Rattus norvegicus: one gene and its partners. The protein of the gene in region 1 interacts with the protein of each later gene in a pairwise test. Links are inferred from orthologs where the notes say so. Each region holds a gene or a part of one and is shown in the gene's direction. Other genes may lie near its edges.

Region 1 (4,212 bases):
CTTTGGATAAAAGGAGCCTCTGTGATCACACAGGAATAAGAGAGCTCACTACAAAACAAAGGCAGCTACTTGCTGCCCAACTTCTTACATTTTACCTGTTCAGCTGTAGCTGCAGCCTTGACTCTGATGCTATCACTAATTCCTAACATTAATCCTGACTTTATTTTGTATCCTAATTCCCTATATTTTGACACTTACCCCTTTCCTAGCACACAACCATACTAATCTGGCTTTTATTTTTAGGCCCAAATCCCCTAACTTTAACCCTAAATACTGCCCCTCTCCCCAGTCCTAAAGCTCATTTCTACCTTGATTCTTAATTCACCTTCTCACTGTTTATTCTTAATACTGACCATGACAATGGCCTTTAATCCCTGAAACGAGCTTCTAAGCCAATTCCTGTTGTTGATCCTTAACCCGATCCTGTACACTGACTTATGCTGGTCATTCCAGAAAATAATGACCTCAGTTTAAATGTCACAAACACGAAAGAGACTTGACTCATGCATGTTTAAAATGTAGTCCAGCTTCTTAACTTCTAATGGGATCCTTGCTTCCTAAACCCGACGCACCTAACTCAAACTCACCCAAAGTTTTCCTAACCACATACTCACTATCGGCTAACACCAAAGCCCATCCCCGCCCAATGCCTCACTGCCACCCCATTTCTACCCGTCCCAAAAACTATCCGAGACAGAGAACTGTCTACTCCCGCGAAAAGGGCCTGTCTCTCGCAACACGGCTGGCTTAATTTCAAACCTAAACTGAAACGTACTGTACCCTGACCTCCCCAACCGGACACAGGATATGCAAGAGGATTGGGGGCCCCGCCCGCCGCTTCCCGGGCCGGCCTGATCCCGCAGCCCCACCTAGAACCTCAGCCCAGCCCGTCCGGCCTACCTGCGCTGCCCAGCTCTGCGCCCCGCCCTGGGCCCGCTACCCGCTCGTTCTCCCGGTCGCTTTGGGGCTCCGGCCTCGCCCTCCCTTCGACACACTCTCGTCCACTTCCGTCCTGGAAACGTCCCCCACCCGCCGGCGGTCCGCTCTATGGTCGCAGAGACTGCAGGAAGCTGCTCTGGCCGCAGCTCTCGATGCTCGGGCTCCCGCGAAGCCTGGCCGCCCCTCCCCGGCAGGAAGCGAGGGTGCAGAGCACTGGAGAGAACGCCCGAACTAAACGGGAGTTCCCTTTTAGACTCTTAGGGTTTTTTTAATAGCTCGCGGCGAAGGCGGATCCGGATCCTCAGAATCCCCGCCCTGGGGCGTGGGAAGCTGAAGGGACATCCCCATAATTTGCATAGCCCCTGGGACGTGGCGCACTACACAAGCCACTTCCGAGTTGGAGGGAACTCCAAGTCCCAGGATTCCACGGGACTATGTGCATCACTTCCGTTATGTTGGACGCTGAGGGGAATAGAAGCTGAGAGGCGGGTGTGGCATATAGAGTAACAGCTAGGCCCTGGTCCGGGAGTGACTAAGGTTAAGTCGATGCGACTTGACAGACTGAGGGGTCGTGCCTAAGGTTCGGAGATTGGATCTGCGCAGAGGAGTTTCTATCCATAAATATTCCAAATGGATCCTGGTGGTCAGGACCTGCTAGCTTTGGATCCTGGTGATCAGGACCTGCTAGCTTTGGATCCTGGTGATCAGGACCTGCTGGGCTTCCTGCTAGAGGAAAGTGGAGATTTGTGGGCTGCGACTGAGCAGGACATAGAGACTCCCCTGGACTTGGAGCTGTCGCCTTCCGAGGTGGGTGGGTGTTCTGAGTGGGGAAGCTAGCGATGTCCCTGAGACCCAAGGTACAGAGATAAAACAAGGCCTTTGATTTTGTTAGAACTCCGTGCAAGAATTGAGCGACTGGGAGGTAGAGGATTTACTGAGCTCTCTGCTCAGTCCCTCGTCATCGCCGGATGTTCTCAACTCTTCTAGTTCTTCTATTCTCCATGATCACAACTATTCCCTTCCACAGGAGCACGTCTCCATAGATCTAGGTGAGTGTGAAATGTTAAGTTATGGGGAAAGAGAGAGCTCACTGAACTTGCTAGCCCTACTTTCGCTTTTGCAGATCCTGGGAGCTTTGAAAAGGAGGGGTTCCGCATGAATCCATTGCGTGTGGAGGAGACAGCAGCAGAGCAGGTACTGGGCTTGGTGTTTCAGGATTACCTCACTTTGCAGCGGCCAAGAATCCCCCATACTGCTCTGACATCACCATGCAACTCTGCTCTCTTCCTCCAACCTTAGGAACTTTCTACACTGATACTGACGGAGGAAGAGAAAAGGCTTTTGGAGAAGGAGGGGCTCACTCTGCCCTCAACACTTCCTCTCACTAAGGTAAGGCTTCTGGTAGTAGAGCAAAAGCTGGAGGGGGATTGTATAACCCAAGTAGGCAAACTCAGTTTATTTCATATCGATCACTTACAAAAGGACTGAGGTCAGAATGGAAGCTGATAGTGGGAACCTGGGACGAGCAGATACCAGGGTAGATCCTGGTCTTGTGGCGCTGATATACATTTTGGCGTTCCTTTCAAAATTATCAGTGTATGGCTTTGTAGGAAAAGGCCTTGCTTAACTCCCAGGACCCACGTGATGGAAGGAGAGACCCCCATGTACAAAAGATAATTTTTTTTTTTTGTTCTTTTTTTCGGAGCTGGGGACCGAACCCAGGGCCTTGCGCTTCCTAGGTAAGCACTCTACCACTGAGCTAAATCCCCAGCCCCAAGATAATTTTTTAAATGTAGAGTAACTTTAGAACAGAGCCTTGAAAGGGCCTTCAAATGATGGCCTTGACAGATTTCGTTGCTATCTTGGGACTTCGCCTTTTGCTCAGTGGTAGAGTAGATATGCTGGAGAGGCTGAAGCAGTCTAACAACAATAGTTGTTACAAAGCTGTAACAAAGTTGTAACAAAGCTGGACTTGAGGGGCTCACACTGCCATAACCCTAGAGGCAGAGGCAGGAAGGTCCTCCCACGCTCAAGGTCACTTCCCAAGTGAAAGCATACTGCATCTAGTTTTTGTGCCCCTTTTATTGTCTTACTTCTTTTGTTATGTATGTACTGACTTATTTGGGACAGGTGGATCAGGAGTTAAAGGCCAGACTTCGCTTCATGTTGAGTTTAAGCAAGCCTGGCCCACATGATAAACCCTCTCCTATCCCTCTCCTGCCATTACGAGATGAATGAGCAGTATAGTAGTTAATAGGAAAGAAAATGGAGTTTTGGAATTATCAATAGTGGCTCCGTCCCTAGGACAGTAACTGTCTTGTCCTCCTTTACACTGGCCAAAGCATACCATAATTCTCCTACCCCTGGGATTGGAATATAGCACCTCTGGAATACTCACCAAGTGCTCTACCACTGGCTACGCCCTCCAGCCCTGGTTTGTAAGGCAGGGTCTTGTAAGCCCAGGCTGGGCTGGCCTCACACTGTGTCGTAGGTAAAGAATGCCTTTGAATTCCTGGTTCTCCTGCTTCTAGCTTCCTAGGACCAGATTACAAGTGTATGACATCACTCCTGGCTACTGTCCAGGTTTGACAAGCATTATCAGAGACTATGAGAGTTAACTTTATTCAGTTTTAATTTCTGAAAAAAAAAGAGTTTAAAGTACTTAAGATAAAGATGTTCTATATCATTCTAGAGAGCCTAGGAAAATCCAATGGGTGGAAACTAGAAGATTGATGTGGGTTTAGGATAAGGATGGTGGTAGTTGTTAGTTCTGAGACATAGTCTTCTGTAGTTCACTCAGTCTGTCCTGAAAACTACCCTAACCAAGGATGGTCTTGAAATCCTGACCTCCTTCCTCTTCCTCCCAAGTGCCGATATTACAGGCATGTACAACCACACCTAGCTTAGGAGGAACTTTTTAAATTAATTGGCAGCTGTAAAGATGGCTTAGTGGTTTAGAGCACTTTCTGCTCTTCCGTGGGGCGTGAGTTCCAGTCCCAGCACCCACATGGCAGCTCACAATTATCTGTAACTTCAGTCCCAGGAGATCTGTCATTGTCCTCTAGCCTGTGTGGGCACCAGGCACACACATTATACATATACATTATACAGACATGCAGGCAAAACACCTATACACATAAAAATAAGAAAACTCTGGCTTTTAAGTGCTGGACACGTGTCCTGTGGAGATGTCCACACAGAAGGTGAATGCCTATTGGCAGAAAAGCTGTGGAGAGAATTTCATTGGGAAGGTTAGCTGCCATCCAACACACC
Region 2 (2,160 bases), on another chromosome or scaffold:
ATTGCCAAACTCATCACTAGCTTCTTGGAGCTGCACCGCCTGGAGAGCCCCTCAGAACGGTCACAAAGCAGTGACAGTGAACCTGATGGCCCTGGTGGCCAGAGCTGACAGTGTGGAATGGCTGCTGGTGAATGTCACCCACTTCCGATGCGTCTCCGACTGACTTGCCAATTATAAGGGTACAGGCAGACCTTGGACACCCGCCTATGGCTCCTTGGGCAGTCCTACTACAGACTACCCGCCTTTTGCTTGTTTACGCTTCTACACTTTGCAGAACCATGGGCTAGGCCTCTCCCACAACCCAGAAAGGCTGCATCTGTCAGGATGCAGGGGGTGGATGCTACATCCAGGGGAGGGCGAGGTCTCAGAAGTTAGTGCCTTCCCCGTGGCCGCTCTGGGTTGGGCAGCACAGCCGGGTCTGCATAAGCTCGCCCAAGGGCAGTCTGAAGTATAAGATGCCAAGCTTTCTTCAGCATAAGCCTAGTGCCTGCCTTCAAGATGCCTTGCCACCCCAGGATATTGTAGGCAAGACTCCACTTCATAGTGAGAGTGAGACACCCACACGCAGGTAGGAAGGACCCACTCCTGTAAACACTGATGTTTACTCTCCCTGACCATCCCTCAAGATGGACACCCTTGGTGGTCAGGAGCTTCCCTGAAGGCAACTATGGATGCTGAATGCCTGGCCACAGAACTCTCAGAGAAATCAGAGTGTTGCTGACTACCCTGTTCCTTCTCAGACAACTTTGTCTGAGATCCCAGCACTGTTGTAGCACAGCAGGAATGGAAGGCTCTCCCAACCCAACCAGGGAAGAAGCTGCTACTGGAGGAAAGGTCACCTCTTTTGGTTTTTGGCATCCTGCTGTCTTTAAGACCTGGGAGCTCCTTTACAGAAACTGAGTCTTAGCCTTTCAAGCCTTGAAAAGACCTGAAGAAAATAGGCATGTGGAGACACAGCCCTGTCAATCCCAGTGTTCAGAAGTGGGGCGGGAAGAAAGTTCAAGGCCAGCCTGGGCCATGGCCTCTTCTAATAAAGTTGGTACCAACCACTTACGGTCCTTTTCTGCTCTTCTAGTTTCCTTCTGAGTCGACTCAAGTCCCTCAAAAGTACACTGTTTACTAAGTTTCCAGCTAGAAGCTGTGGATCTCTGGTCTACACAGAGCTCCTCCAAGCCGTATACCCATACCTCATCAGGTAGACCTGGGAAATAGAAGAGTTACATAGACAAAGAAGTTAAGGCAGCCCTGAGGCTACTGCCCCTAGGCTGAGCACAGTAGTTAGGCAAGAACTATGAACAGGTCTTCTGAGGTGACTGCTACTAGTCCCAACTTGGGAACATGGTCCCTTGAACATGCTAAAGTGAGCTTTCTAAATGGTTAAGTTAGAGATTTTTCTCCCCAGATGAAATGTGAAATATAGCTTGTTGGTTTTTGGCTTGTTGCCCACAGACTCTTAAGGTACTTTAGACAAGAGAAGGAGGAGTCTGTCTCTTAGGTGCTGTCATATCCCCTTCCAATATTGCCCAGTGCTGAGACTCATTCCTTGGTGAAGGCATGAAATTCTCTATGGTGGTAAAAAGTTGATCCAAGTTTCTGTTGGTGGGACTTCCACTTCCTGGTCTTTTTATTTCAGAAGTAATAAAGCTCTACGTGCAAATTACAAATGTGCCTTTCTGTTTTCTGCTTCACCCAAGGTTACTGTTCATACAGCTGGAGAACCTGTCTACGTAGGGCTCCGCAGGAGGAGCACAGGCCCCGCCTGGCTGGGCCACTGAGAGAAATCTTGGTGTTGTCCAAAGTCATATACAGGGCCCTGGCCCCTCAGGGGTTCTGGCCTGTGTCCCAGCCCGGGCTGGTGGGTGGTGGCTGTTGGGCGGCCGCCTCACCCAGGTCCTGCAGCAGACCCTGCAGTCGCTGCATACTGGGGAGCACATTCTCCTCCAGCCACTCTTCAATGGCGTCCGGGTAGAAGACCGGCTGCAGGGCTGCCTCCAGCTGCTGCACGAGGTTGTTCCACCTGCTTAGAAGGCTGGGGGGAGACAGCATCCATGATTTGCTTTAGCAGTGTTTCCGCTAAGGCTCAAGTTTACATAGCTGCACCCATATGCTCAGTCCCCAGAGCCAGTGCCATTCCATGCCTCCGTTGAACATTGGGACAAA
Region 3 (3,152 bases), on another chromosome or scaffold:
GGATCTCTTTTAAATTCCCAGGTTGTGAGTGGGCGTGGTGCTCAGCTGTAGAGTACTTGTCTAACATATATCCCACTTGTCTAACAGTATGGGGGTGTGGAGAGTCCCAAATAGAGATGTCACGCCAGGAGCCTGGGGAACGGGGACGTACACGCATGTGGGTATGTTCAGATCAGGCCAGCAGGCTATTCAGGCTCCGGGATGGTCTGGCCTGGCTCTTGAGTTCCGTGATGGTAGGAGTTCTGGGGCACTCCAGGAGCAGGGCTGTGAGTAAGAGGCACGTTCTCTACAGTTCTTTGTGCTGCTGCTGCTAGTGTTCCTGCTGGAAGCCACCATTGCTGTGCTCTTCTTTGCCTACAGTGACAAGGTATGTTGCTGCAAATGGACAGACAGTACATGGGGTGCTGGGAGACTCGGTGCAGAAAGTACCACAAGCCCAGGGATCTACGTTGTGGCTCTGGTTGTATGGGTGGGACAACAGCACTCTTAATTCCTAGGATATGTGGCCAGGGTCCTCTACTAAGTACAGGTTGCTAAGTGTGGACTGTCCCAACAACCCCAACCCCCACTGCTGCTTACTGTGTGTCATATGTGACTTCCCATATCTGTCTGCCTGGTCACACAACTGGAAGGATTTACTCAGATATTTTAGGATCTTGGGTTATAGATCATGCTGTATTGCTAGCTCCTGTGTCCCCAACTTCCCCATAGGACCTCCTTTCTGTAAAGTACCCTTGGACTATAGGAAGCTCCCTGTACAAGCCGGAGTTGCCCTTCAGTGCCCTAGTTCCTTTACTGGAGACTTAGGAGTGGAGCCATACCCTCAGCTAGAGAGCAGACATGTCTGTCGGTACTACCAAGAAGACTGAAGTCCTCCCCTAGCCAACAGGGGGAGCCTATAGAGATGAGGCAGCAAAGGCTTGCACCAGGGTCCTTGAAGCCTCTGGGAGAACATGAGCCTGGGCTGTGTCCTAAGTGTGATAGGGTACTAGGGTAGGGGGTAATCCCAGGAAACAAGCAAGAGGTTCAGATAGAGGGGGTTTGGGGTATTGTCCTGTCTTGGACTGAAGTGGAGGATATTAACTGGTGGTCTGTTAACAGATTGACAGTTATGCCCAGCAAGATCTGAAGAAGGGCCTGCATCTGTATGGCACAGAGGGCAATGTGGGCCTCACCAATGCCTGGAGCATCATCCAGACTGATGTGAGGCTTGGGCAGCCTTCTTGGTATGGCGGACAGGCTGGCGGGGGTGGGTGTTGTGGCTATCTCGCCACCCAGTCCTTTGCTTTCTTCCTGCTTCTAGTTCCGATGCTGTGGAGTTTCCAATTACACTGATTGGTTTGAGGTATACAATGCCACTCGTGTGCCTGACTCCTGCTGTCTGGAGTTCAGTGACAGCTGCGGGTTACATGAACCTGGTACCTGGTGGAAGTCGGTAAGAGTATTCCCTCTTGTGGTGGGTGGTTGCAGGGGTGGGGTTCCCCCAGCTGATCCTGGCTCTCTTGCAGCCCTGTTATGAGACAGTGAAGGCCTGGCTCCAGGAGAACCTGCTAGCTGTGGGCATCTTTGGACTGTGCACAGCACTGGTGCAGGTGAGCTGAGCAGGGCAGTGCCTGGGACTCCTGACTGCAATGGCAGAGGACTTGCTCAGGAGCCTGTGACCTGGGTAGGCAGGTAGCAGTGCAGACTGTAAGAAGACAATGTTCACTGGGGGAGGTGACCTTTGGTATGCAGTACTCCCTGTGCAGAGCCCGTTGTCACCTAGTGGGTCAACACAGCCAGGCAGCCATATTGGTTGGTAGTGACAGGACCTCCTGTGCAGAATGAGGGTGGCACTTGATACCTTGCTGCCTCCAGGCCCCGCTCTTTCCTCCTAGGTTCACAGCCATCTATAGCAGTGCTGAGGGTTAGCAGAGTGGTGCTCCAGGCTAAGTGGAGCGCCTACAACCCACCTGGCAAACAGATACTCGGTTGGCTACGGCTAGGACAAGTAGGTACAGTGGGATAGGCAGAGGGCTTAGACCAGGCGTGCAGAGGGGTGTGACCTAATGTGCAGAACGCAACTTACCCTGGGGACGGCTTGCAAGAGTCAGGGCACCAATGAAGACCAGCCCTTCTGCCTATGGGCAAAGGCCTATGACCTCTTGTCTCCACAGATTCTGGGCCTCACCTTCGCTATGACCATGTACTGCCAGGTGGTAAAGGCGGACACCTACTGTGCATAGGTCTCTGTCACGGCCTCTGCTTCTCTGCCAAAGGACCTGCCCATGAGGAGATGTCAAACCCACTTCCCATGCAGGACTTGGTGCTCCGCTGAATGCAAGGAGAAGAGCTTGAGGCCACAGCATCCAGGACCCATCCCTGCACCTGAGGGACTCTGCTTGGGTGGCAGCAGAGACACCAGATTAGGGTTGGTGCCAAATGGCACCCAGGGCTAAGGGCCTGGGGAACTTTTGACACTTTTATATCCATATATTTCTTCTAGTGTTCACACAGGATGGGGTCCCCAGCCTTGCATGGATGCCAGGTTGGGGGCAGGCCCAGTCTGCTCAAGGCCCACGATGATCTTGGTGCTCCAGGCAGGTCCCATGATCCACATTCCATGACAGTGTCGTGGATCCAGATGCATCTTAATAAAGTGTGTGAGCAGTCCCTGGGTCTAGCTGGCACACAAAGGTTGTATAGCCACAGCCTCCAATTGAGGAAGTTCTTTCATTTTCCAAGGGTCAGGAGAGTTCAGAGCTCAGGGGAGCACTGCTAACCTGTTTTAGTTGGGGAAAGGTGTGGCCTCTTCACTCTCATTTCTTCTAGGCTACCTCAGTTACTCTTGTATTTCTCTCCTAGTACCTCTGCCTCTGGATTAGTCTGGAGAGACTGCAGATTGCAACACTAGGAAACACAGAGCCCTTGCCACTGACCAGAGTTAGAGTCATATAGAGCATCAAGCCACTATCAAGACATCAAACTAGGGGATAAAGAAGAGCCGTAGGTGAGGGCCTTTGACTACAGGGATGGTACTCTGGGGATGGGGATTCAGGTTAAGATGAGCTCCCAGGAGCTGTGAGGCACCTGACTCTCAGTCCCCATATCCTGCTGTCTGAGGGGCCTACTCTGTGACACAGTTCTCATTAGGGGTCATCCTTGTGACTCAT
Region 4 (4,183 bases), on another chromosome or scaffold:
AGAGTAAGTTGGCTTAACCACTGAGCCAACTATCTTTCCAGCCTCAGAACCTAAGATTTTTAGAACAAATCATTGATGTTTGTATAAGCCTTCCTATGGATGGGAACTGTGAATTGGATGCGTTAAAATAAGGACCTTTCAGTGTTGGTACTAAACTCTGTTTGAGTGTTAAGGGGGAGGGGAGCGCTGGAAAAATGGCTAAGTAAGCAAAGTTCTTGCTGTGCATGAAAGCTCCGGTTCAGCACCCACACAAAGAACGGGGCATGGTGGTGGCAGGAGCCTTTAATCCCAGAACTGGGTAGTGGAGACAGGCAGATCGGGTTAGTCTAGTCAATCAGGTTCACTGACATGCTTTACCTTATTAAAGGTGGAGGGGCTAGAAAGATGAGGCAGTGGGCTCTTCTGGGATCAAGGTCAGTAACGGGAAAACCCTGTTGAGTTCCCTCTGGAGTTTCAACTTTTCTGGCTTCCCAAGAGTCATGAAACCTAGTTCTAAACCTTCTCCCCACTCCCCTTTCTCCTATCTCCCACTGGGAGATATATTATGACCATCTAAGTTCATACCCTAAGTTTCTCTGAGCCCCTATCGTTCCTCGACTGTTTCCCGTATCAGCACATAGTATAAAGGCTTATGTTGAATTCCTCCCAGAATGCAATGCTGCAGGATTAAGATGGGTTAAAGATCGGCAGAGAGAAACTATGGGATACCATAAGATATTTCCATACTCCAGAAGCCAAGGAACCAAAATCTCCACCACAGATCAAGTAGCTATGCAGCGCAGGCGCAGGCGAGTCTCTGGAGGAGAGTGCCCAAAAGTGAGTGCCAGCACTCGGGAATCGCTTCTTGAACTGAGATAGCTGAATGTTTACAAAATCCTTAGGTGGGTAATAAGTTATCTCCCATTTAACACCAGTGAGAACTGGGGATGAGAGCTCAAGAGACCTGTTCAAAGTCAGGAGCGGACGCGCGACCTCTACCCTCGACATGACCTCCCTGGCAGGCCAACATGGAGCCAGTCTCGGCTAAGCTCTACCACCCAGATTCGCTACCTGGAGCACACAGGCCGACTGCAGCAGACATGCACCCAGATCCTCCTTCACGCCCGCACACGCGCCGCCCTCCGGCTTGTCCTCATAATACCGGGGCATGGCGGGGCCCACCGCCCTCACCACACCAGATCACGGCCTTCGGTCACCCTGGACCGCCCGAAAGGGCGTGGGCTACGCCCACTGACAAGCTAGAGGCGAGAGTAGGAGAAATCCTCAACTTCCGGCGGGATTGTGACTCTTCGGGGTATGCGCGTGCGTGGCGGAAGTGCGTGTACGTGACGTAAATACAGAGCGCCGCAAAAGTGCGGGCTACGTAGAGGCAAGGGAAGTGGCCCCAGCGGCGACTGGGCTCCGTACCCGGCTAAGGTGGCGGTAGTCTTGGTCCCAAGGCGAGGCCTCGTGGGCCTTCAGGTGCGGCCTGCTCTGTGTGCGCGGGGTGGCGTTCGTGCCGACGGCCGTTTCCACGGTCAGTTCGCAACCTGGCATCTGAGCGGCTGGGGGTAGGACCAACCAGCGCCCCGCAGCTCAAGTCCTAGGCCCGCCGTGAAGCTGCTGGGTAAATCCAAAGACGCCCGTTTACGTTGGAATCGCAGGATTAGAGCCGTTTTAAGAGTTCTAAGGAGGTCTAGAATTTTGCACAGGAATCACACACCTTGTCACCGCTTGTTCTTAACTGAAATGTCACTGAGCCGTCTATATTTTTTGTTGACAGAGGCTTGGGGTAATGGAGACCTGCTGGCGGGGCGGGGCGGGGCGGAGTGCCGCGGTGTGCTGGTAGGCTGGGCGGTGACCAGCAGTCACTTAGCTTTGGACTAGTTGGACTGGACCCTCCCGCGCAGTTATTCCTCCTACCTGGCTATTCTAGGAGTAAAACCATCAAGGAATGGAGTTTGCTTCGTTTTTGATGTCACATTCTGAATAGCCAGGAGCTTGCTGGCCATCGCTGATGGACTTGTACAAATCAGCTGTGTGTCTTACCTGTTCAGTGACCCTACTTTTAGCTTAGACTTTTTTGTTCTTGTTTTAAAAATCTTGGTCATTAAAAACATGGAATTTTTGAACCAGTGTTCCAGTCATCACACATCCCTATATTGCTTTTATCTTGGCCTCCATTATCAGTAGTAAGCAACTACAGCTGCCAAAGGCTTGATTGACATGAAGGTTGGGAAACCGTGGACTCGAGTTAAGTAGTTTCAGGAGATGCAAGAGAGCATGATACTGCCTTGATGGTTTTAACACTTGGCTGGTCCTTAATCCTTTCTGAAGGTGACAGGAGAAAATGTCATAGCTCTGAGGAGTGTTAGTAGCTAAGCATTACATTTAAGATTGCATCTAAGAGAAATGTTTTCATTCCATCTAGGAAGATGCTACCAAGTACTTCTTTGAATTCTTCGATGTACGGGAATGGAGCTTTAAATTCCAGGGATGCAGCAAGACACACAGCTGGAGCAAAACGCTACAAGTACCTCAGAAGGCTTTTTCGCTTTCGGCAGATGGACTTTGAGTTTGCGGCATGGCAGATGCTCTACCTGTTCACCTCCCCTCAGAGGGTTTATAGAAACTTTCACTACCGGAAGCAAACGAAGGATCAGTGGGCCAGAGATGACCCTGCCTTCTTGGTCCTCCTAAGTATCTGGCTCTGTGGTAAGTGTGTCTCAATTTACAATCAGTATAGTTGAAAAACAAATTGGGGTTTTGGATGAAAGTTTATCTTCTGTGATAATGTAGAATGGGTCAGAATCTTGGGGTGTGTGAAGCTATGGGGTTTGTCTTTTCTAAAACGTTAAGAAGCTGGCAAGAAAGAAAGTGTTCTTCCTAGTGCTGGCTTTGACACACGCCAGAGTAAACTACTGTACCGGGGTGTGCAAAAGTAGGGGATGGGATTCATCCCATAGTTGGGTTTTTCCTTCTCTTTTGAGACAGCTTCTAGATGGGTGGGTCAGGCTGACCTGGCACTTGGGATGCTCTTAACTTGGCCTCTTAATGCAGGCATGTTCTACCACATTGGCTGACTTTAAAAAAAGACTAATATAACCCAAACCCAACTGCGTGCCAAGAAATGTTAGGATAGGAACTATGTTTCTTTTTTTTTTTTTTTTTTTTTTTATGGTTCTTTTTTTTCGGAGCTGGGGACCAAACCCAGGGCCCTGCGCTATCTAGGTAAGCGCTCTACCACTGAGCTAAATCCCCAGCCCCAGGAACTGTGAGGCTGGGAGGTTGTTGTCTGTCTTGTTTGATTTTTGGCAGGAGGAGGGGCACGGGTTGGTTGGACCAGCAATAGAAACCAGTGGCTTGAATAGACCAGGCAAGTGCTCTACCACAGAGCTGCACCCGCAGCTTTCAGAGTAGGGTTCTGAAAATACTGATTGAATTTGAAAAGAACCTTTAAGTTCTCCAGGACATCAACTGGAGTACAGCAACAGTCCCAGTCAACTAGAGGGTGTTGAAGTATATAGTAGGTACCTTTCACATTTACCTGAACTTTAAGTTGAGTGCCGTCTACACAGGTGTTCTGAGTCCCCTGTGTCCTGGTGAACCAGTCCTTGAGCCCTGCTCCTTTCCTGCATTCAGAGGTGGCATTTATTTCGACATCAGTTGCATGTACCTTGTGAGGGTTTTCGTCACTATGTACCACCTCTGCTACACTGGGCGTGTGGGTGCCAGGGACTGCCTAGTACCCAAGAGCCTGGCAGTGAATCTTGTAACTCTTTGTTTCAGTGTCCACCATAGGATTTGGCTTTGTGCTGGACATGGGATTTTTTGAGACAATAAAGCTGCTCCTGTGGGTTGTGTTCATAGATTGTGTAGGTGTTGGCCTTCTCATATCAACTTTAATGTGGTAAGTACCATAAGGGGGTTCATACATACTGCCGAGCCCGTTTGTTTACATCAGAAGTACAGCAGCTAGTGAAAAATCGAACCCAACATAGAGTAGCTGAAGTGACTGGATTGACTGCCAGGATTATTGTAACTCGGCTCCTGTGTCTGTACTAGGTCAGAAAATAATCCGTGCTTACTGTCATTGTAGCAAATCCCAAAACGGTTATACCCTGCTAAATTCTGATTTTCTAATATATATGATTCCATTTGCGTCTGGTTAGCTTTGTCACTACATTTGTCATGGGTACCATTT
Region 5 (3,500 bases), on another chromosome or scaffold:
GAGCCATCTGACCTGTTCCGCCTGCAGGAGTACAACATTCCCGGGGTGATCCAGTCGCTCGTTGGCTGGGTACGTGCCCTTTACACGAGTGATAGCACAGAGGAGTTTCCTCCAGAGATAGTAGCTCCTCGCTAGGGCCCTGCGCCTTATGCCAGGGTAAGGGTGGAGGAGACCTTTCCTAACCTCATGTCAGTTATCGTGTGGACTCCTAGAGGATCCTGCTTACTGAATAGTATGCACCTCTTTCCCTGGGCTGACATTTTCTTAATGACACTGAGTTGGTGGTTGTGAAGCTAGTGGCAGTGGATAGGGTTAGAGCTGCAGCACAGTGGGTAGGGTTAGCGCTGCAGCACAGTGGGTGGGGTTAACGCTGCAGCACAGTGGGTGGGGTTAGCGCTGCAGCACAGTGGGTGGGGTTAGCGCTGCAGCACAGTGGGTAGGATTAGCGCTGCAGCACAGTGGGTGGGGTTAACGCTGCAGCACAGTGGGTAGGATTAGCGCTGCAGCACAGTGGGTGGGGTTAGCGCTGCAGCACAGTGGGTGGGGTTAGCGCTGCAGCACAGTGGGTGGGGTTAGCGCTGCAGCACAGTGGGTGGGGTTAGCGCTGCAGCACAGGGGGTGGGGTTAGCGCTGCAGCACAGTGGGTGGGGTTAGCGCTGCAGCACAGGGGGTGGGGTTAGCGCTGCAGCACAGGGGGTGGGGTTAGCGCTGCAGCACAGGGGGTGGGGTTAGCGCTGCAGCACAGTGGGTGGGGTTAGCGCTGCAGCACAGTGGGTGGGGTTAGCGCTGCAGCACAGTGGGTGGGGTTAGCGCTGCAGCACAGTGGGTGGGGTTAGCGCTGCAGCACAGTGGGTGGGGTTAGCGCTGCAGCACAGTGGGTGGGGTTAGCGCTGCAGCACAGTGGGTGGGGTTAGCGCTGCAGCACAGTGGGTGGGGTTAGCGCTGCAGCAGCCCTGGAACAGGTCATTGCTTGCTTTATGCTACTCACTCTGCAGGTGCACACAAGCTAGTTATACTCTGGTGAGTGCCCTCGATGGGACTCTAAAATTAGTAACTTCATTAACATATTCCTGATCCTTGACACCGTTTTAATATTCTCTGTACTGAAATGGAAAATACACAGAAAGTATTTCTGCCAAATACTGAGGCACAGAGTGTCCCAAAGAGAAGGCATGTCCTGTTGTTTTAAGTTGTGAGCTCAGCTGGCTGCTCAGCTCTCAGGGTAGGGTTTCTGTTTGAAGATTTGGTTGTGTAACATAGTTTTCTTAAGAAGAATGACGTAAGTCTATTGCTTAAACAGAAGTGACTGATAGCAGTTGTTACCAGTGATAAAAATCTGCATTTCAGGTGAAATGAGAAGTTTGAAAGCATGCACCTATCATTGCGAGCATGATGGGTTTCTGGCACTTAGAAGCTGTTCTGACACCACATAACCAAGTGTCCAGCAGTGAGCTGGTATTTCTTAGATGACCGGGGTATGGTCCATAGTCATGTCTGGATAAAAGATGGACCCACAGTGCATTGTAGACCAATGGGTTTTGTGAGGAAGCACAAAACATCCATTAGGAAGATTTCAGCTTCAACATTGTACCTGCTTCTTTGGGGGGCGGTGATGGTGAGGATCTCACAATGAACTTGGAATCTTTCTGCCTTCTCCTGAGTGCTGGGACACCCCCTGGCTTGTAGCTATTTCTTTTCTCTTTGTGTGTGTGTGTGTGTGTGTGTGTGTGTGTGTGTGTCTGTCTGTCTGTCTGTCTGTCTGTCTGTCTGTGTGCATATATGTATGTATGCATGTGTGTGTCTGTCTGTGTGCATGTTTGTGTGTGTATGTGTGTGTGTCTATCTGTCTGTGTGTGTGCATATATGTATGTATGTGTGTCTGTGTGCATGTTTATATGTGTGTGTGCATGCATGTATGAATGAATGTGTGCATATTTACATATATACCTACATAAGCGTGGAGGCCCAAGGTTGATGGCAGGAATCTTTCTCAGTTGCTCCTTTGCCTTATCCTGGTGAGGCAGGTTCTTGAGATAAGCTTGCTCTGGGATCCTCTTCATGGTCTGGAATTACAGGTGGCTGCCATGCACTTTCGCCATTTACATGGATTCTGGGGATCTGAACTCCAGTCCTGCTGTAGGACTAATGAGAACCTTCCCACCTTACACCTCACCGTTACAGAGTTGTGCCTGTTAGGTTCGTGTGAAATACCCACAATCCTCAGAGAAGACTGCTAAACACTCATCCTTTTGCTGTCATATTCTCTGGGAAGCTAAGGCTGGGTTCTCTTCATAAGAAGCTAATTCCAGAGTTTCTCCTTTGTTTGTGACAGGCTCTTATGCAGTTTAGGCTGACCTTACATTCTCCCTGTAGCTGGGGGTTCCCTTGAACTTCTGATCCTCCTGCTCCTACCTTCCAAATGCTGGGATTACAGGCACATGCCACCACTCCAGACAGAATATCATGATGGTCTACTATTAGGCCAAACGTTAGAGATTTAAAAGCGTGGGCCAATTTTCTTTCTTTCTTTGTTTGTCTCTCTCTTTTTGTTTCTTTTTTCTTTTTTCTTTTGTTTTAAAGACTCATTCCTGGGCTGGAGAAATGACTTAGCATTTAAGAGTACTTACTGCTCTTTCAGAGGTCCTGAGTTCAAATCCCAGCAACCACATGGTGGCTCACAACCATCTGTAATGAGATCTGATGCCCTCTTCTGGTGTGTCTTAAGACAGCTACACTGTACTTCTAAAGAATAAGTAAATACATCTTTAAAAAAAAAAAAAAAGAAAAAAGACTCATTCCCTTTAGATGTATGAATGCTTTGGGTGCGTGCTTTTGTGTTTGCCTGCAGTACCAGTGAAGGCCAGAAGAGGGCATCACATCTCCTTGAAATAGAGCGCTAGATGGTAAAAAGCCACCATGTGCATTAGAACAACCCAGGTTCTGTGCTGGAACAGCAGGTGCTCCTGACCAGCAGACCGTCTTCCAGCCCTGCAGTCTTTTGGTTGACTGAAGAAAATAGAGACCTTGTTTTATCAAGTTCTTAATTAACTGAGAAGCCAGATGTGCACACTTGTTGACTTTGGTTTCGCTCACTCTCCTCAGAAAACCATGAGGATGTACCCTTTCCAGATCCACAGCATTGCGCTCTCCACCTTCGCCTCGCTCATTGGCCCATTTGGAGGGTTCTTCGCAAGTGGATTCAAGCGGGCCTTTAAAATCAAAGTAGGGAAACTTCCCCGCTGCCCCTCCCTTCTGGTCGCCCATCTCTTCCCTGCCCCGCTCCATCAACATTCACCCCTCATACCAGGTCATGCCCCCTGGCACTCAATGTATGTTCCTCTTGACCCTCATGCTGAATTTAGTTTGTTAGTTGTGCCCTGTGATCGCCTGAGCATTTGACCGCATGCCTCTGTCCATCGCCTTCTGGACCCAGCAGGGTTTGGTCATCGGGTGGATCCATTAGTCTGGAATTCGGTTGTTGCTGAGCACAGTCTTGCCCT
Region 6 (3,996 bases), on another chromosome or scaffold:
AAGAGCACTGACTGCTCTTCCAGAGGTCCTAAGTTCAATTCCCAGCAACCACATGGTGGCTCGCTACCATCTGTAATGGGATTGGATGCCCTCTTCTGGTGTGTCTGAAGACAGCTACAATGTACTCATATAAATAAAATAAATTAAAAAAAATGAAAAAATCATCCTATCTACAAAGTTATAAAGATTTTTCTCTTGTTTTCTTCTAGAAGTTTTATAGGATCATAGTTTAATAGCCGCCTCTAAGATTTCTCATGGGTATGGTAACACAGGCCTGAAACTCCATTCACAGGGATGAAGAAGCAGGAGGAATAGAAAGAAGTTCAAAACCATCCCCTTCCACAGGGTGAATTCCAGAGGCCAGTCTCTACAAGAGACCCTATCTCAAAAACAAAACAAAACAAAAACAACAAATAAAAACAAACAAACAAAAACCCCCAGGAGCCCTAAAGGTCAAACTGTGTTGGGGTTGGTGGGAGGGTGAGGCTTGGGTGTATTTATTGACCACCTATGTTTGTGAGGCCTTTGGATATAAACAAAACCTGAACAGCAGGAGCCCACAGACCGAGGAGACAGTGGAAGAAATAAGTACAATTAATTACTGGATTAAAGAAAGGGGTAGGGAGCTGCGGTGGAAGGGGGAGAGAATCTCACAAGGTCTGTTTTTCTCCCAGTTTTTGCCTCCCTACAGCTCCCTCCAGGTGGGGGTGCGCGTGCATGACGTCATCGGTGGAGCTAGGCAGCAAGGTGGGGGGGGGCGAGGAGGCTCTGCAGATCTCTTAGAGAGAATCATTCCTGAAGCCAGCAATTCAGCGACGGGTTCAAGGAGCCATATACAGTCAAACGGAGCCCCTTTCCTTAATTTTGGGGCAGACAGCGAAAGAGAAGAGGCAAATAAATGAGTAAATAAATAAATATATAACGATAAGGGTTTCCTGAATAGCGCTACAGTCCGGAGGGCTCCCGAAGGCGGAGATGCGTCTGCATTCTCCGTCCACACCCCGACTACGCGTTATTTGGCAAAAAGGTCATCCCGCTGGCAGGGAGCGCGCCCCACACTGGGACCCCAGCTGCACGCGCTTTCTGAGCGCGAGCTTCGGAGAGCTGCACGGGCGGTGCACGATCGCCCCCTGGCGGGGAGCCCCGGACTGCACAAGCCGAGCGCAGGGGAGGGGGGCGGGGGCGCCGCGCACGCGCACGGGCCGGTGGCGCGCGCCGAGCGGGGGGCGCCGCGCGGTGCAGCCACGATGGAAGGGGGTGCGTACGGAGCGGGCAAAGCCGGGGGCGCCTTCGACCCCTACACCCTGGTGCGACAGCCACATACCATCCTGCGCGTCGTGTCTTGGGTAAGGACACAGCAAGGCGGGCTGGGGCGCGGGGCTCCGGGAACTGGCGCGACCTCACCTGGCCCGGGCGGCCCTGCGGACCCAAGCGGATCCTGGCCCCTGCCACCGAGCTCCTTAGCCCCATCGCCGAGACCTCCAGGTTGTCGCTGCCCAGCATCTAGCGACTCGGTTCGCGTGCGCCCGTGGAGACTGAGCCCAAGTTCAAGGCCGTTTATTGGGGGCGCGGATCAGGGCGTGGATCTTTTTCTAGGGCGCACTGCTGCACCTGCCGCGCGCTTTCGGGGCGAGGACTGGGAACTAGGTTTTGTTGCTCACCCTGTACGCTGCGGAGCTCTGAGTCTGGAGCCTGGATACTTGGGTTCCGCCGAGACCCGTATCTGCTTTGCCGCGTGACCTTGGGCACGGAACCACCCCAAAAAAGACCAGGGATACGAGATATTCAGTTCCAAGCTGGGTGGGGAGCGTCACCTCTTATGTCATGCCTCAGTTTCTCGATTTATAGGGGTGGGAGGAGCTTCCTTGAGGCCCCTTTGGGCTCTGACATTTTATGAATCCGCAACTCTCTCATCCTCAGCAAACACCTGAATAGATTCTAAATGTTGTCTGGAGAAAGGTCCCTTCCACGCAGTGGGGAACAGGAAGGTCTGTCTGTTCGCAGTCTTTAGCCCACCTAGTCCGTGCAGGTTCCCCAGTGCTGAATGGGGCTCAGCTCAAACCTGGGGCGGAGGAGGGGGCAGAAACAGCTTGAAGGGTGGCACAGGGGGCTTTGCGCCCTAGGGTAAGGAGGCCTGTAGCTCTGGTGCCCTCTGGGGTTGGCTGGCTTCGTGGAGGGTCTTGCCTATGCAGGTCTGGGGTCCATTCCTGACTAAGACCAGAAGAGCCTGCATTGGTGACAAGGGTCAGGGACCCCTAGGGGTTAGTAACCGAAGTCAGCTGTGACCTGGGCTTGCTGAAGTGCACTCCTTTCCTGGTTTTCAGGGCCATATCAGGATCTGATGGGCGGGATGGCTTGAGATTTATTCTGGTCTTAGGAATCCTTTAAATTTCCTCCTTGTGGGGAGCCCTGTTTCTGTAACTCCTTATGGCCGTGCAGCCTATATATATCCGTGAGGGTTTGTGACACCGAATTTATTTATTCTTGGCCCTCCCCAGCTTGCAGAAGAAGCCCTTGCAGGCTCTAGGTAAAGTGGGAACCCTGGAGGCACCTGCCTGGTCAGGTGGGTTGACCTCGTACTGCTTCCTCTGACCTCTCTGGGGCCCCTGGCTGGGAGGTAGAAACTCAAGCTTTGTGAGGGGCGTGGGCGTTCCTTATGCTTGGGTCATTTCTACTGTTGATGGCTTCATTTAGTGAAGCTTTATTGAGTCTGCCTGGCCCGGAGGGAAGGGAAGGCAGCATGACTCAGGCTCGGCCCTGACGCTCAGGGAACCCACAGTCCTACTAGGGAGGGAGCCAGGACAGGGGTCTTCGCTGTGGAATTGCTGTGCTTCATGGAGGTGATGTCATGTTGATTCTAGTGACACAGAGAGGGCTTACACTTTAGGTCCAGGTAAAAGGAGGACATGCCCGCCAGGAGGAGGAAAAATTAACTAGGTCTAGCACCCACTCACTGATCTTGGGAACGGCAGACGAGCCTTGGAATTCAAGTCTTCCTGCCACCAGAGGACTGGGCTTCTGCTGCAGGGGGATGGCAAATTCTGTAGTCTCCAGATTGGAAAGGCTGTAAAGTTATCAAGTTCAGCCCCAGCCCAAAGCCCTTCCAGACCTCCCAGCTCTGCTCACACACCTGGACCCCAGTCGCTTTAAAGTTTTAGCAATGGGATGTTCTATAAGCTAGAGAAAAAAATGTTTTTTAAAACCTAGATTTAAAAAAGCTTTGGTCCTGGGCAGTGGTGGCTCATGCCTACACCTGGGATGCTTTAGGCAGGTGGATCTCGGAGTTCAAGGCCAGCCTGGTCTACAGAGTGAGTTCTGGGACAGCCAGGGCTACACAGAGAAACTTTGTTTCAAAAAAGCAAAAACAAAAACAAAACAAAACAAAAAAACAAAAAACAAAAACAAAAACCAAAACCACACCAAACCAAAACAGGTTTTGAGCAGTGGTGTATGCCTGTAATCTCAGTACTTAGGAGGTAGAGACAGATGGCTCAGAGTTCAAGGCTAGCCTCAGTTACATAGCAAACTGGAGCCAGCCTGGGCTACCTGTGACTGCCTTAAAGGAAGATAAAGAATTTTGCCCCCTTTCTGATTATTAAAGTAATACCTGCTTATTACTGGACAGCAACATGGGGTTGATAATACCATTGAAGTACACACTTCGGGTGAAGAGGGGCCTGGGGGTATGGCAAGTGTAAGGTCCTGGTCTCTATCGTCAGCTCTGGTGGGAGTGGACGGTGGGATGAGAAAGAATGAACGAGGGGGGCGGAGGGGGGAATGGGAAATTTCATGTTGTGCTGTGTTGTTTCTGTTCCATATTTTTGAATAGTCTGTGCTGTATAGACATCTTAACGTATTCTGGAGTGGGTCCCATGCCTTCTCTTCGTCCTCAGGTTTTTGCATCTACTGTGGAGTCTGGTAGCCCCATACTTTCCCACGGAGCTAAGAGAGCCTGGGCTCTGGGTCTAAGGTGACTGGTTTGCTCAGGTTTGCTCA
Region 7 (3,063 bases), on another chromosome or scaffold:
AGATGTCTGTCCACACAGGAATTTTCTACATGTGTGCCTACCGGATGCATGAGTGCCGGCGCCTATCCACCCCACGCTGAGCCCTGGGGCGAAACTTGCAGCCGGAAGTTACAACGAGGACATTGAAGAGGAAGGGGAGGACCTAGAGGCCGGAAGTCCTGGTTCCTGAGGGAATGAGGGGGCTCAGTCCTGTATTCTAGCCCCTGACCCCTCTGTCCTGTGTGGGGAGGAAAAGTAGGGTCAAGTGGGAGGGAACTGAGACGAAGACATAAGCCTCCACCTGCACTGAGGGGTGGTAGAAAACAGAAACTCCTTTAGAGAGTGATTTGGGAATCTAATAAAACTGATGTGAAACTATCAAAGTGTGAGTCGTTAAGGGTTGATTTAGAGAAAAGCAGGCTGGGGTGGGGAACAGTGTGTTCTGATATGGTAGCCTCATCCCTCCGTTATACAGGGGTGGGAACAAGATAAATGGGTCCTTACCTAGGAGATAGCCATGGTTTAATGTCTAGAAAAGGATGTGTGGGATTATAGGATGAACAAAGCTTACCTGCTCTTCACCCACCTATGCTCCAGGCAATTTATCTCTCCTCTGATCCCTGGATAGGCCCCCTCACTAGAGACAACACACAGCTCTATCCCCTCTCTATTTTATTTTACCTATTTTTTGGAAAGTCAGGGTCTCATGTAGCCCAAGCTATCCTTAAACTCATTATCCTCCAGCCTCAGACCTCCTGAGTGTTGGGGAGGCAGACCTATGCTGTCACATCAAGAGATGGTGGAAACATTTTGCACTTGCCTGTTGAGGTGTTTCCCACTACTGGAGGACATGACGCAGAGGCCCCCAAGTGACACTTTGTCTTCCACTTCTCACCCTCATCTTGGTGCTAAGACACCTATGCTGGAGGGTCCAACCGAGGTGGTGTGACTTCTCACTATATCTGTTAGATGAGAATGTAGGAAGGTCTTTTCCTCCTCAAGCCTTTTGGAATCCTGTCTGTCCTGAACAGAAGCTTTGACTAGGAATGTGGAGTCTCTGCTCACACTTACTCAAGTCCTTCTTCCTATGGGGCTGGTGTTTTGACCCCACTGCCCCTTTACTGTTGTAAACTCTAATGCTAGAGTCTAGGAGTGCAAAAACCACAGGAAAGTGTGACACAACCGTCTCCTCAGCCACATCTCTCCTTTCAGTTAATTCATACCCTAGTATGATTAGCCCACCTCCCACCTCTGCCCACCCCCTCCAAGTCCCTCCCTAAGAGCTTCCAGGAAATCAGTTGTCTCCAACTGTGGAGAACCTGTGACAATAGTCTAAACCACTACCTAGACCACGAGGGTAGACACCCCCAGAGCAGCCAGCAAGTAAAGACTTCAGCAGGGCCCTCCCCCACCACACAGGAGAGGAGCCAATCCGAGAGGGGAAGGGAAGCCACTCAGGAAGGGAGTGTGAGAAGAATCTGACCAGACACCAGGCCTAAGGCTACAGAGGATTCTCTGACAAAGTCACTGCTTGCTGGCTGTTTCTCTGGCCCAGTGGACTAGAAGTCCAGGTGCATGGCCTTTTCCTTTTTCTAAGAGCCAACACTCTGGGTCATCTGTGTCTTTGTCCCCTAAGAAGTGGAAACCCAGAGCTGTGTCCATGGAGCCCTACCGGTCCCTGGCCCTGCTTGCTGGCTGTCTGGGCCTGATTTTTTCACTGATTGCTCTGAGCACTGACTTCTGGATAGTGGCCACCGGCCCCAACTTCTCTGCCCACTCTGGCCTCTGGCCAACAAGCCCAGGGACTCAAGTAGCAGGTAAAGGGGCGATGGGCTCTTTGGCGGTGGGTATGGCTAGTGGGAATGGACACCCAGAATCATCGTCTCGCATTAGGTTATATCCACGTGACACAGGTCTGCTGTATCCTGGCTGCCCTGTGGGGCCTGGTATCCGTGAGCTTCCTGGTTCTGTCTTGTATCCCATCCCTGTCTGCTCCTGGCCGTGGCCCTATGGTCTCAACTGTCTTGTCTTTTGCTGCAGGTATGAATAGGATCTGGGCTGCACTGGGACACCTGGGCTGGTGAATACAAACCAGCTCAGCTGTCTCTTGTTCTTGTCCCCAGCTCTCTCCATCATAGTGGCCATGGCAGTGTACACCAGCGAGAGATGGAGCCAGCCTCCATCTCCCCAGGTCCAGACATTCTTCTCCTGGTCCTTCTACCTAGGCTGGGGCTCCGCCATCCCTTTCCTCTGTGCAGGTGACTACTCTAGCCTCTTCCCTGGGGGAGGACCATGATGAGGGCTGGGGCAGGGAAGTGCAGGGCACTCAAGTACTTAACCTCCCATCCCCCCCTCTGTCTCCACACCAGGCTGCCTGAGCCTGGGTGCTCACTGTAGAACCCGTCGGACTGAGTACGAAACCTTGTGAACAGAAGCCAAGGACATCAGGGTCAGCAGGATGTTTGGAGCCTTGTCCTCTCAGAAGCTATAAAAGGAAGGCAGAATTCTGTTTCTGTCCCTCCCACCTTGCCTTATCCCTCAATTGCTTTCTTCACACACTCAATAAAAGCATGCCGAGATCTAATTGTTCCAAGATCAGTTTAGCCAAGACCTAGACCTAGCCAGGCTTCTCACCCCAGTTACTCAGGTGGCTGGAGAAAGGAGCATCACAACTTCAAAGACTGCCTGGGCAACATAGTGAGTTCGAGGCTGGCTAAGGCACTAGGGCACCAGAGTGAGACCCTGCCTCAAGGTGCAAAACTAAAAAGAGAGCTTGGGTTATGGCTCAGTTGTAGAGATTTGCTGAGCATGAATGAAGTCCAAGTTGCATCCCCAGCACCTAAGTCAACCATACGTGAGCCTGAGCTCTCAAGGAGGGTTAGAACCATGCAGACCTACCTACCTGCAGCTTATTTTTGCCCTGTGTGGACATAATCTCCCTCTTGTCTTTAGTGTCTTTCTTTCTCCTGATTTCTATCTTTCTCTTTTCTTCCCCAAATGACCACCCTTCTCTGTGGGTCCACTCTGGGGACATTGATATGCACCACACCCAAGCTCTCTTAACCACCAGCCTTTGTCACAGGC

The links.
Region 2: the proteins of Creb3 (region 1) and Cybc1 interact in a two-hybrid assay, tested with the Homo sapiens proteins (2 studies listed by BioGRID and IntAct). The two-hybrid records come from large-scale screens. The link is inferred for Rattus norvegicus from reciprocal best matches to the Homo sapiens genes CREB3 and CYBC1.
Region 3: the proteins of Creb3 (region 1) and Tspan4 interact in a two-hybrid assay, tested with the Homo sapiens proteins (2 studies listed by BioGRID and IntAct). The two-hybrid records come from large-scale screens. The link is inferred for Rattus norvegicus from reciprocal best matches to the Homo sapiens genes CREB3 and TSPAN4.
Region 4: the proteins of Creb3 (region 1) and Unc50 interact in a two-hybrid assay, tested with the Homo sapiens proteins (2 studies listed by BioGRID and IntAct). The two-hybrid records come from large-scale screens. The link is inferred for Rattus norvegicus from reciprocal best matches to the Homo sapiens genes CREB3 and UNC50.
Region 5: the proteins of Creb3 (region 1) and Cds2 interact in a two-hybrid assay, tested with the Homo sapiens proteins (2 studies listed by BioGRID and IntAct). The two-hybrid records come from large-scale screens. The link is inferred for Rattus norvegicus from reciprocal best matches to the Homo sapiens genes CREB3 and CDS2.
Region 6: the proteins of Creb3 (region 1) and Syngr1 interact in binary tests that used the Homo sapiens proteins (3 or more experiments, as listed by UniProt). The two-hybrid records come from large-scale screens. The link is inferred for Rattus norvegicus from reciprocal best matches to the Homo sapiens genes CREB3 and SYNGR1.
Region 7: the proteins of Creb3 (region 1) and Nkg7 interact in a two-hybrid assay, tested with the Homo sapiens proteins (2 studies listed by BioGRID and IntAct). The two-hybrid records come from large-scale screens. The link is inferred for Rattus norvegicus from reciprocal best matches to the Homo sapiens genes CREB3 and NKG7.

The regions. Positions count from the first base shown.
Region 1 is NC_086023.1:62,612,240-62,616,451, forward strand, and holds the start of Creb3 (cyclic AMP-responsive element-binding protein 3), read left to right. Parts: upstream 1-1,412; 5' UTR 1,413-1,569; coding exon 1,570-1,746; intron 1,747-1,831; coding exon 1,832-1,988; intron 1,989-2,062; coding exon 2,063-2,133; intron 2,134-2,238; coding exon 2,239-2,328; intron 2,329-4,212. UniProt on the Homo sapiens protein: Endoplasmic reticulum (ER)-bound sequence-specific transcription factor that directly binds DNA and activates transcription. Plays a role in the unfolded protein response (UPR), promoting cell survival versus ER stress-induced apoptotic cell death.
Region 2 is NC_086028.1:106,996,522-106,998,681, reverse strand, and holds the end of Cybc1 (cytochrome b-245 chaperone 1), read left to right. Parts: coding exon 1-108; 3' UTR 109-1,660; downstream 1,661-2,160. Other genes in the region: Hexd (hexosaminidase D), read right to left, coding at 1,822-2,029. UniProt on the Homo sapiens protein: Functions as a chaperone necessary for a stable expression of the CYBA and CYBB subunits of the cytochrome b-245 heterodimer. Controls the phagocyte respiratory burst and is essential for innate immunity.
Region 3 is NC_086019.1:206,018,731-206,021,882, forward strand, and holds the end of Tspan4 (tetraspanin-4), read left to right. Parts: intron 1-292; coding exon 293-367; intron 368-1,101; coding exon 1,102-1,203; exon of another isoform or gene 1,204-1,226; intron 1,227-1,303; coding exon 1,304-1,435; intron 1,436-1,508; coding exon 1,509-1,592; intron 1,593-2,156; coding exon 2,157-2,225; 3' UTR 2,226-2,652; downstream 2,653-3,152. UniProt on the Homo sapiens protein: Structural component of specialized membrane microdomains known as tetraspanin-enriched microdomains (TERMs), which act as platforms for receptor clustering and signaling.
Region 4 is NC_086027.1:47,159,435-47,163,617, forward strand, and holds the start of Unc50 (protein unc-50 homolog), read left to right. Parts: upstream 1-1,383; 5' UTR 1,384-1,606; intron 1,607-2,410; 5' UTR 2,411-2,414; coding exon 2,415-2,694; intron 2,695-3,768; coding exon 3,769-3,889; intron 3,890-4,183. Other genes in the region: Coa5 (uncharacterized protein LOC503252), read right to left, coding at 1,051-1,149. UniProt on the Homo sapiens protein: Involved in the cell surface expression of neuronal nicotinic receptors. Binds RNA.
Region 5 is NC_086021.1:140,002,370-140,005,869, forward strand, and holds part of Cds2 (phosphatidate cytidylyltransferase 2), read left to right. Parts: coding exon 1-69; intron 70-3,102; coding exon 3,103-3,222; intron 3,223-3,500. UniProt on the Homo sapiens protein: Catalyzes the conversion of phosphatidic acid (PA) to CDP-diacylglycerol (CDP-DAG), an essential intermediate in the synthesis of phosphatidylglycerol, cardiolipin and phosphatidylinositol.
Region 6 is NC_086025.1:113,515,070-113,519,065, forward strand, and holds the start of Syngr1 (synaptogyrin-1), read left to right. Parts: upstream 1-1,196; 5' UTR 1,197-1,247; coding exon 1,248-1,346; intron 1,347-3,996. UniProt on the Homo sapiens protein: May play a role in regulated exocytosis. Modulates the localization of synaptophysin/SYP into synaptic-like microvesicles and may therefore play a role in synaptic-like microvesicle formation and/or maturation.
Region 7 is NC_086019.1:102,980,002-102,983,064, forward strand, and holds Nkg7 (protein NKG7), read left to right. Parts: upstream 1-1,495; 5' UTR 1,496-1,639; coding exon 1,640-1,796; intron 1,797-1,872; coding exon 1,873-2,019; intron 2,020-2,102; coding exon 2,103-2,237; intron 2,238-2,348; coding exon 2,349-2,407; 3' UTR 2,408-2,563; downstream 2,564-3,063. Other genes in the region: Lim2 (lens fiber membrane intrinsic protein), read left to right, coding at 19-80.